2 linked regions of the Arabidopsis thaliana genome follow. The protein of the gene in region 1 interacts with the protein of each later gene in a pairwise test. Each region holds a gene or a part of one and is shown in the gene's direction. Other genes may lie near its edges. The genes, in order: AT1G07650 and AT1G54540.

What was found.
Region 2: the proteins of AT1G07650 (region 1) and AT1G54540 interact in a protein complementation assay, tested with the Arabidopsis thaliana proteins (one large-scale study listed by BioGRID).

What each region holds. Positions count from the first base shown.
Region 1 is NC_003070.9:2,360,408-2,368,446, reverse strand, and holds the start of AT1G07650 (Leucine-rich repeat transmembrane protein kinase), read left to right. Parts: upstream 1-1,837; 5' UTR 1,838-2,023; coding exon 2,024-2,126; intron 2,127-2,261; coding exon 2,262-2,442; intron 2,443-3,737; coding exon 3,738-3,827; intron 3,828-3,924; coding exon 3,925-3,993; intron 3,994-4,079; coding exon 4,080-4,151; intron 4,152-4,282; coding exon 4,283-4,354; intron 4,355-4,479; exon of another isoform or gene 4,480-4,517; coding exon 4,518-4,589; intron 4,590-4,684; coding exon 4,685-4,756; intron 4,757-4,834; coding exon 4,835-4,906; intron 4,907-5,010; coding exon 5,011-5,082; intron 5,083-5,161; coding exon 5,162-5,233; intron 5,234-5,336; coding exon 5,337-5,408; intron 5,409-5,476; coding exon 5,477-5,542; intron 5,543-5,626; coding exon 5,627-5,695; intron 5,696-5,781; coding exon 5,782-5,817; intron 5,818-5,973; coding exon 5,974-6,032; intron 6,033-6,148; coding exon 6,149-6,543; intron 6,544-6,634; coding exon 6,635-6,830; intron 6,831-6,924; coding exon 6,925-7,065; and 8 more. Other genes in the region: DSI-1VOC (dessication-induced 1VOC superfamily protein), read left to right, coding at 98-225, 456-618, 713-835.
Region 2 is NC_003070.9:20,367,029-20,370,587, reverse strand, and holds AT1G54540 (Late embryogenesis abundant (LEA) hydroxyproline-rich glycoprotein family), read left to right. Parts: upstream 1-2,076; 5' UTR 2,077-2,166; coding exon 2,167-2,886; 3' UTR 2,887-3,035; downstream 3,036-3,559. Other genes in the region: AT1G54550 (F-box and associated interaction domains-containing protein), read right to left, coding at 1-899.

The sequences.
Region 1 (8,039 bases):
TGAGCTCACCGTAAAGAGAGATCCTATGTGAGGTTTGATGATGAGCATTTCCAAGGATTTCATCGGATCGAAATCAGAATCATAAGACTGGGAAAAAATGGCAGCTAATATGATGAGACCGGCGTTTGCTTACACTGTTGTGTACGTGAAGGACGTAGCTAAATCTGTAGAATTCTACTCTAGAGCTTTTGGTCACAACGTCCGTCGTCTTGACGAATCCCACAGGTTTGTATTATGAATTGTTACTATTCTCTACGTTGGATTGTCTTAGGTGTTGTTGGATACGATCATAGGAATGTAAACGACAGAATCGTATTAGGTCATGAAACAAAACTCTCGGGTTTGAGATTCTATTGGTGCGATGTCCTATAATCAGGTCCGATCCGCTGGCTAACATGCTAAGCAAACACACCAAATATATATGTTTGATGAATGAAAGAAACTGATACATACAGGTGGGGGGAGCTAGAGAGCGGGCAAACCACGATAGCGTTCACACCGCTTCACCAGCATGAGACCGACGACCTAACCGGGAAGGTTCAGGCTACGCAGTCAGCACGTGAAAGAGCACCCATCGAAGTCTGCTTCTGTTACCCTGATGTTGATGCCGCTTTCAAGGTAGAAATCAATTATTATATACTTATGTCTATATTTGCCTGTTACTCTTCAATTCGTACGTGTTGATAAACCAGTGAGATGCTGCGTTGTGCAGAGAGCGGTGGAGAACGGTGCGGAGGCAGTGAGCAAGCCGGAAGATAAAGAATGGGGGCAGAAGGTTGGATACGTGCGAGACATTGACGGCATTGTTGTACGCATCGGAAGCCACGTTAAGTGAATTCAAAATAAAGACTCGTAAAATATGATCATTAACTAGTCTATATACATATGAATAAATATTACAAGATACTTTGGTACCTTTGTTAATTATGGTTGATGTCTTGATGAATATATTTACTTAAAGCAACATGTAAAGTAAAAAGATATACAAAGTGTCCAGCCTAGTCCCCACACTCCCCTCTCTCAATTCGTTTTTTCTTTGTTAGTATCGTTACACAAAGTAGGAAACGATGTTATGATCAAAATCATAATAGTTGGATTTTTCTCCTATCCTAGTTATCTTAAACATTTATCAAATGATTCCGCGACCCAACAAAATAACAAACGAAAGAGAGTGTAAAGTTCCTTTTACCTTTTTTCTTTTTATCTTTTGTCGTAGTCGTAGTTTCGTATGTTTGTGAGTACTTTGGCTTTCCAAATTAATACGACTGGCTGTCTATCAAAGTAGCTAAACCAATAATGTAAAGATCTGTCGTATGTGGTCTTTGAAACCCAAATCAATTGTTTGTTTTATAACAATAATTGATTCTTGATTTTTGTCAAATAGAACTTATCAACAATAATTGATGAGACTCGATTATCCGCTGAAAATATTTTTATAATTATTTTAGGAGGAAGGTATCATATATATACTACTTTTCATTGTTTGCCGGCTAAATAATTTTAGGAATTGCTGACACTTAGTATAAAACATTGAACATAAGATAAGAAACTTGTTTAATATTTAAAATTCTTTACTTCCTATTTCTTAATATAATACAGAAATATTTGTATCTTTTTAACAACCAAATAAATCTTTAACCAAAACATAGACTAGTACTCTTAAAGCAAAACATAGACTAATCTCATACAAGGACTAATCCCAAAATCGCTTGGGGATATAATTTCTGAAGGGTCTCTGTCAAACCTTAAGAAAAGATATTTAAAAGTAGCACTGGGTCCTGATATAATATACATAATGTTTACATTACAGTATTACACACACACATATTAGAATGGGCTGAAGACCAAAATAGTTAAGAGAACATGACAAAGTACAGCAAACCTTATTAAATCCTGACGACTAAAGTGGTCAATAAGCTCTAGCTTCTCATCCATCACCACTTCCTAAATGTTTCTCTCTCTATATCTCTTGCAAGCTTTCTCGCAGAAGTGATACCATATTTTATTATTTTGTATAGAAAAAATGATATATTTACATCGCATATATTTCATCATCGTCCTCTTCACACTAATTTTCCATGGGCGTCTTGGTTTTTCCGACAACAATAAACTTCACGAGGCCGAAGGTACTACTATAAAGATTCTTCCTCTAGTCCTGTCTCTCGTCTGTATATGTGTGTGCATCTCTATGATTTGCAAATCAAAGCACTTTTTTTATCTTTGATGATGATGGTTGTTTGGTATGGTTTGAAATTGGGAAGTGAGGGCATTAAAGGAGATAGGGAAGAAGCTAGGGAAGAAAGATTGGGACTTCAACAAAGATCCATGTAGTGGTGAAGGCACTTGGATTGTAACAACTTACACAACCAAAGGGTTTGAGAGTAATATCACTTGTGATTGCTCCTTTCTTCCTCAAAACTCTTCTTGCCACGTCATTAGAATGTAAGTTTCTTCTTCTTCATCCTCCTTCCCTTTCTTATCTTCCTCTTTAATTTTACCCATTTATGGAAATTACAAATATCTTTAGCGTGTCGGTGCCAAGTCACGAATATTGGATTTCACAGTCTGTAAAACAAGTGTACGTAATACAAGTATGGAGAATTTCACAGTTTTTATTTTTCGGTTTGTTTGTGCTAAAAATAATTTCACAGGTTAGAATTCCTTTTTATTTTCATGGAATATGTTTAGCATTAATTAGTTTAAGCTAAAAGAGGGGAATTTTAGGGTAACAGAGTAGTGGCTAGTTTAATGATGGTGACAATGAAGGGGAAAACCACTAAATTCCTTGGTGAAGGTTGGTTGCAATATTGACTGCACAACTCACACTTTAATGACAACCACTAACTATATGCCTACAACGTCACGTTCTCTTTTATATAGTACTAAAACTTATTCTACTGTACTTATATAATCCCTTGTTGATAGTTTTACTATCTTACTATTTCTTTTTTATGACAGCACCATCTTACTAATTAACGTTTTGTATTAAAGGTAAATAGTAAACGATAATTTGAAGCATCGGTTTTAAGATAACTAATAAAGTAATGAGTGTAACTAAGAGTTAGGTGGATGTAAATTCACATGTGAAGTAAGATTAAAAAGCTTTAAGTTTGATTTGTCTCTTTGTGACGACAAGTTTATACTTGCCAGGCTGGTCGTTGACCCGTTGACCAAAGTAAACGATTCAATAGATAATAGCGCGTTTACTTTCGCTCTATTCCATAACTAGACTTTATATAAATCGCCAGATAAAAAACTATGATTTACATAATTCAAAAAACATTTAGTGTTAGTAAAAATTAGTTATATATTTGTGTCTCTTTAGACTGTTTGATCATTTTTTAAAATCATAATTCTTTTTAAAAAATTGTCATCAAAATCGTAACAAGTTTATGATCCAAAATAATATAAGAACAACCATGATCTGTAATTCTGTATTATCAAACAGTAACACTACTGTAAATTTGTTTCATTTTGAGATGATGAAAAATCAGAAATTATTTTTCTAGTACAAATTTCAGTTTTAAGAAGAATAAAACAAATTTCATACCGATGCGACAATTACTTTACCAGTCCATTAAATATTGTTTTAATTTGTTTCCCTAGCTTATGCTTAAGTATATTACAATATTTGTCCCCGTTGTTCTTGAGAAGTTTATCTTCCACCCCAAAACTTCTAGTTCTGTAAAAGAAGACCTAATCAGAATCAAACTGTCAAAAAGTAACAATTTTAATAGTGGCAATTTGGTTGGCAGAGCTCTGAAGTCGCAGAACTTAACAGGCATTGTCCCTCCAGAATTCTCTAAGCTTCGTCACCTTAAAGTTTTGTAAGTGATCAATCAGAAAGACTTGAGCTTTTTCATTCTTTCTCAAAGTTTTAACTTTAGAAATTGGTTCTCAACGCATACAACAATTTTGGTGCAGAGACCTAAGCCGTAACTCTCTGACTGGTTCCATTCCAAAGGAATGGGCTTCTATGCGCTTGGAAGATTTGTAAGTATCTCTTCTACTTTGCTTCTCTAATGAAATCAAATCCAATCAAAATCTTATCTTTGTTGGTTTTGATGTACATTACACAGATCTTTCATGGGGAACCGATTGTCTGGTCCGTTTCCGAAAGTCCTGACCCGCCTTACAATGCTCAGAAACTTGTATGTTGTTGTTAACTCCTTTACTCTTGTTTTGGTTCATGAATTCTATTAGAGCCTTATGTTTGGATTATAACTGTAGAGTTTCCTAGTAGATTTATGTATATGTGTGTTGATCATCTGAAATTATGCAGGAGCCTAGAAGGAAATCAGTTTTCAGGACCAATCCCTCCTGATATTGGACAGTTGGTTCATTTGGAGAAACTGTAACTTTCTTTTATCTATCTCTTTTGTGGCTATCTATTGTATCTATAGACATTGAACAATCTGGTGATGGTCTAGTCACTAACAAACTAGCATCACTAGAAATCTCAAGTCTTTTGGTTTCTTAGTTAATATCTTATATCCTCTTCTCTGTTTTTGCTTCAGTCATCTCCCTTCAAATGCTTTCACTGGTCCATTGACTGAAAAACTTGGATTGCTCAAGAACCTGACTGATATGTAAGAGAATTTAGTCTGACATGTTTTGATATGACAAACATAAAATTTAGTCTTTGTTGGAGAATTCTTTAATTATTGTATTTGTGGGGTGTCAGGAGGATAAGTGATAATAATTTCACTGGACCAATACCAGATTTCATCAGCAATTGGACAAGAATACTGAAACTGTACGATCTATTCTTTCTCCATAAGAGTACTCGCATGTTCCCAAGAAAAGACATATGAACCAAAAAAATGTTTTGCAGGCAGATGCATGGTTGCGGTTTGGATGGTCCGATACCTTCCAGTATTTCTAGCTTAACAAGCTTGACCGACCTGTAAGCCTTTAAAAAACTTCTTTTCAAATCATCTCCTTGTCAAACAATGACACACGAGACATTATCATATAATTTTTTTTTCTTTGGTGGGTTGTGATTGATAGGAGAATTAGCGACTTAGGAGGCAAACCGTCTTCCTTCCCCCCACTGAAGAATTTGGAATCTATCAAGACGCTGTGAGTTAATATACAATATGTATGTTGTGTTTGCGATACAGGCTTGCTAGAAAACGTTTTTAACCAATCTCAAATGCAGGATACTGAGAAAATGCAAAATAATTGGCCCAATTCCAAAATATATTGGGGACTTGAAGAAGCTCAAAACACTGTAAGTCATGTATATACATTGAGCAAAGAAGAGCTTTAAAAATGCTTTATATTTCCATGAGATGAACTCTGTATGGTATTTATGTTTACTGTGTACTGTGTAGTGACCTCAGTTTTAATCTCCTAAGTGGTGAGATTCCTTCATCGTTTGAAAATATGAAGAAAGCCGATTTCATGTAAGTATGTATGGTATTTAGTTATATTTTTCCCAATCGTGAAAGTTTTTCTGAGTCTTTTCTATCAGTTATTTGACAGGAAACAAATTGACAGGAGGGGTTCCAAACTACTTTGTCGAAAGAAATAAAAATGTGTACGAATACATGCCTCTGTTAACTTTTAAACGTACCAACTTTAATAGATTTAATAAACTGTATTTGTTTTTCTTGATGTGCAGAGATGTTTCTTTTAATAACTTCACCGATGAAAGTTCAATTCCTAGCCATGACTGTAACCGAGTTACTTCGTAAGTTTATTCATTGTACTCTTATATTTCAGAACACTATGTTCATACCCTGGCTGAAACAACAATTTTGTGCTTCTATTTTCTAGAAATTTGGTGGAAAGCTTCGCCTTGGGGAACAAATCGTAAGAAACCAGCTCTCTGTACAAAAACGACTCATCATAGAAAACTGATTTATGCTCATGACTTCGTAGTGGTCTTTTAAATCTTGTCCTTTCAGTTATGATTAGTGAACTGAACCGAAAACGGTCTGTATTTTCCCTCTGTCTTTGATGTTACAGACACAAGGGTTCAACCTGTTTTCTTCAACGCATGCCTTGTGTTCATCCTAAGAGATATCGTAAGCAACAATAAAGCTTGTCTTGTTTTCATCATATTCTAGTACTAGCTATTAAAACTTAAATAAATGTGAAGCAAATCCTTGTTCTTGATTAAAAAATTGAAACCTTCTTGTAGATTTATATAAATTGTACATAAATTGCGGAGGAGGTGAAGTAAAAGTGGATAAAGAAATAACATATCAGGCTGATGACGAACCCAAAGGTGCTTCTATGTACGTCCTTGGCGCTAACAAGCGCTGGGCGTTGAGCAGCACCGGGAACTTCATGGACAATGATGACGATGCTGATGAGTATACTGTGCAGAACACATCCAGGTTATCAGTTAATGCTTCCTCTCCCAGCTTTGGACTTTATAGGACAGCTCGAGTCTCTCCTTTATCGTTGACTTACTACGGAATCTGTCTTGGAAATGGGAACTACACTGTGAATCTCCACTTTGCTGAGATCATCTTTACCGATGACAATACATTATACAGTCTCGGCAAACGTTTGTTTGATATTTATGTTCAGGTACGTCTATGCAGTCAATATTCTTTTACTTACTCTGTAGAAAAATATAAATCAGAACATAATATATTCTTGCATGTTTATCTGCTCACAGGATCAGTTGGTGATTAAAAACTTTAACATTCAAGAAGCTGCTCGAGGATCAGGTAAGCCAATCATTAAATCGTTTCTGGTAAATGTAACGGACCATACTCTGAAGATTGGTTTGCGATGGGCTGGCAAAGGGACAACAGGCATTCCGATTAGAGGGGTATATGGTCCTATGATTTCAGCTATATCTGTGGAACCCAGTAAGTTTTTGTTTTTACTCAAAAGTGTTTGCTCTTTTATATAAATCATTTGTAACCTCTTTGTCAGATTGATGACCGTATTTTCTTGTGGCAGATTTCAAACCTCCGGTATATTATGACACAAAGGATATCATACTAAAAGTGGGGGTACCTGTCGCTGCAGCAACACTTCTTTTGTTTATCATAGTGGGTGTATTCTGGAAAAAAAGGCGTGACAAAAATGATATTGACAAAGGTATAAGGTTTAGTTTTCTTATGATGTTGTAATGTTTTTGAATCTTATGTAACTTCTTATGTATTCTGGTGCCTAAATGTCAAATTTTTTATGAATGAACAGAGCTAAGGGGTCTAGATCTTCAAACTGGAACTTTTACTCTACGGCAGATAAAAGCAGCCACTGATAATTTCGATGTAACAAGAAAGATTGGTGAAGGTGGATTTGGCTCTGTTTACAAGGTAATTCACTTGAATTCTGCGACATTGTTAGCTCTATACGAAATTGTTTACAGAAGATGTGTACACATTTTGGAAGAATATTGAGAAAGTGGTCCTTCTCTTGGTGCAGGGTGAATTATCTGAGGGGAAATTAATTGCAGTTAAACAACTGTCTGCAAAATCGAGGCAGGGAAATCGCGAGTTTGTAAATGAGATAGGAATGATCTCAGCTCTTCAACATCCGAATCTTGTGAAGCTATATGGATGTTGTGTTGAAGGAAACCAATTGATATTGGTGTATGAGTACTTGGAGAACAACTGTCTATCTCGAGCGTTATTTGGTATGTTGTTTCTCTCGAATTTGCATCTGCGGAATTATCCGGTGGAATTACTGCTCAGAATCTTTGTGTGGGTGATCTTCTTTTGTAGGAAAGGATGAGAGTTCTAGACTGAAACTAGACTGGTCAACAAGGAAGAAGATTTTTTTGGGGATAGCCAAGGGACTGACATTTCTCCATGAAGAATCTAGGATAAAGATTGTACACAGAGATATAAAGGCAAGCAATGTGTTACTCGATAAGGATCTCAACGCTAAAATTTCTGACTTTGGTTTGGCAAAGCTGAATGATGATGGAAACACACACATCAGCACTCGTATTGCAGGAACTATGTAAGGCTCTTTCTCTTTTTACTCATAAGCTCAAGAAGAGAATTCTTAAGAATACAATAACAGAAGTTTGATGTTTTCATTTGCATTGCAGAGGTTATATGGCT
Region 2 (3,559 bases), about 18 Mb from region 1:
ACCTTCTTCTCCTCATCGAAGAAAAAGCTCGTAGCATAAGAGTGAACAAAAAAGTTATCCGGTAAACCATTGATTAGTGTCATATCAATTCTCAAAAAAGTGGTCCATGATACTGCACTGGGATCAATCTTAGTCGAAATACAAATCTCTATTGTGCCAAATCTGTTGAGGTGGCTGTATAACACAGCGAGTTTCTCATTTCTAACACAAGATAGAGTCAAATATTCAAAACGACGAGATGGAGGTTTAAACAGCATAGGCAAACGTGGTCCCTTTCGACCAAAAAAGTAAGTATTTCCCTTCAAAGACACGCTATTGTGACTAAACAGTTCATGCCAATCTATATCAATATCAAGAACCCTCCATGAATCAGAGCTAAAATCGTAAACATCAATAATGACGTTTCTTGGACTCCCCTCATAAAGAAACCTCAAAATTTTGTGGTTACGGTTGTTGTCGTATCCAAGAGCAAACTTGTCATATCTGTGGAGTTTTTTTCTTGGTTGAATCAATTTCGTCTGCCCTAAATACGGATTCCATACCATAACACTCGAGTTGTCTTTGGCGATGCATAACAATAAGCCATCACAGTGATAGACTTGAGATATCTCGACTTGATCAACTTTATTAGGTATACTTATTTGCTTTATAGATAGATCAATCAAATCTTCTTCGCTACGGATTCCTTGAAGATCTAATCTCAAAGAACAAACCCTAGAATCTGTAACCATGAACTCCAAGAACTGATTCTTTGCTGCTGCTTTTTTACCTAAGATGTCATATTTCGATATAGCGTTCCACTTTTTACAAGTAGATCTCACTGCTCTTAGAGATGTCAATGGAACCCTAGAAAATATTTCTCTTACCAAATCATCCGGTAGATCGGTTACTGTCGCCATTCTTCCTCCAAGTTTTCAGCTTTCTCCACAAGTTTAATGTCTCATTGACCTATTCGGTACCCTAATATGTTTGTATATGTGTTTTGGTTGGGCTTGTAATAAAGTTTTGCTTTGGCACAGATTTTTTAAATGGGCCTATTATTTGGAAAAAAATAAACCATCGAATCCTTAACTATATCATATGGTAAAATTACGAAATCGTTTAGCAACTGATTTTCAGTTTTACTTAAAAACTACGAAGCTCTTGATTTAGTTCGTAGAGTGCACCACCACATATTTAGTAATCTCTTTATAGATCAGATGATATGTGACTAACATAAATTTCCAGAGTAGATGAGTGATGACTATATATTAATTGGGAAACTTTGACATCTATCACTTTTACGATTCCATTTCTCAAAATAAACTACTAAAGACTTTTTTTTTAAAAGGATGCAAAAGAATCCTAAGATAGAGTGTTTTGAGAAGTCTATTAGCCCATGGAACTAGAGTTTTAGCTAGCAAAAGCATATAAATTTATGGTTAGAACATCCATGGAAGGTAACTTTGTTTGAGAGTTGTCCTCTCAAAACAACTCTCTTCCTTCATCTTAATAAGAGTATCAATTTCGAATCATAGTGTTCTTGGTGACAACGAAGTAATATTTTCTCTATCAGTACCCTTGCATCATAAAGTTTTAATAATCTATCTAAGTTCTTAGTTTCTATCTTAATAAGTTTGAATCTTTCTTCTTTTGAGATTGCTTACAAAAAAATCATTCAAGAATCAATTTATAAAACCTTATATAACTTTATAAATATTTTCTATAAAATGTATTTAAAGAAATTATAAATCCTTTTGTGGTGTTTTTGAAAAAAAAAATTAGTGATAGTTATGAAATGTATCATAAAAATTGTAGTTTTCAAATTCTTCCTCAAGAATTTGATTATACGGGTTGTTGCTGAACATAGAGATGAACAAAAAGAAGATATGTGTTGAAAACATTGGAATGTTGCCAAAGTCGTCATCCTAACTAAACCAATATACCGAATGATTTATTGTTTTTGTTTTATTATCGAATTAAATACAAAAAGATTACTGTAACTGTTGAACAACCTCTAGTCTTTCTAATATATTCTGATTAATTCAACGTTATAGGTGAGGAAGGTAAGATGTTGGTAAAAGTCATGCATGGAAACAACTTCACAAGACAAAACTTTGATATAAAATAAAGTACATATAATACATGTTGGTGCATTAGTATTACTAAATACAAAGTTGTAGATCCATGGGAGATCAACAAAAAATTCACCCGGTTCTTCAAATGGAAGCCAACAAGACGAAGACAACAACACCAGCTCCCGGAAAGACAGTCTTGCTTCCGGTTCAACGGCCGATTCCGCCTCCTGTTATTCCTAGTAAGAATCGAAATATGTGCTGCAAAATCTTTTGTTGGGTGTTAAGCCTTCTAGTCATTGCATTGATCGCGTTAGCAATTGCGGTTGCGGTTGTATACTTTGTTTTCCACCCTAAACTCCCGAGTTACGAAGTCAACAGTTTACGAGTTACCAACCTTGGAATCAATCTAGACCTCTCTCTTTCCGCGGAGTTTAAAGTCGAGATCACAGCTCGTAATCCCAACGAAAAGATTGGGATTTATTACGAGAAAGGAGGTCATATCGGTGTGTGGTACGACAAGACAAAGCTATGTGAAGGCCCTATACCGAGGTTTTATCAAGGACATCGCAATGTAACTAAACTAAATGTGGCTCTAACGGGAAGAGCGCAATATGGGAACACTGTCTTGGCGGCATTGCAGCAGCAACAACAAACAGGACGTGTACCGTTAGATCTTAAAGTGAATGCACCTGTCGCCATCAAACTCGGAAATCTGAAGATGAAGAAGATTCGGATATTGGGGAGTTGTAAGCTTGTTGTTGATAGTTTATCAACGAACAATAATATCAACATCAAAGCTAGTGATTGCAGTTTTAAGGCCAAACTCTGAGATGTTCTTAGATCTAGGCGCTTTTACTTTTTATTGGTGTTAATTACTCAATTCATCATTTTCTTATGCATTTGATTCATATTTTGGATTAATGGTTTTATTCTCAATAAAAGATTGATTTTTATTTTTTAAATTACGAGAGATTTTTGAAATTTCAAAATATTGCAAATGAATGGTTCTTTTCCGCTTAACATAATTTCTATGAAGTAGTCGGAACGAGACTCTCTTCTAGAGAGAGAGAGAGTCATTCAGGAACCGACGTGCTTACATGGGAAAAAAACCTATTGCGATCTCATGTCTTTTTCCAAGGCAATCGATCCGCACATTAAAACGACGAGAAAGAAAATTAATACTAGAAGAGGGAAAAAAACATACAAGGGAACCAAATGTCGTCATCTCAACTACAAATGTTGGCTACACTGAAAGTTTTTCAATAGAGATAAGATCTTCACGGTCGAAAGCAAAAGAGCAACTCGTAACACCTATCGAGATTATAAATTCTATTGCCCATAGCATGGAATCAACTTCAGCATGAATGGTTTGGTAGTGTGAATCACATCTATACTATTTTTTCAATGGTAAAACTTTCGAAAATTACAATAGAATTGAAATATAAAATTTCGAGAAAATTCAAACGATCTCGAGTTTAATTCATCCCAAGTAAAAAAAGAAG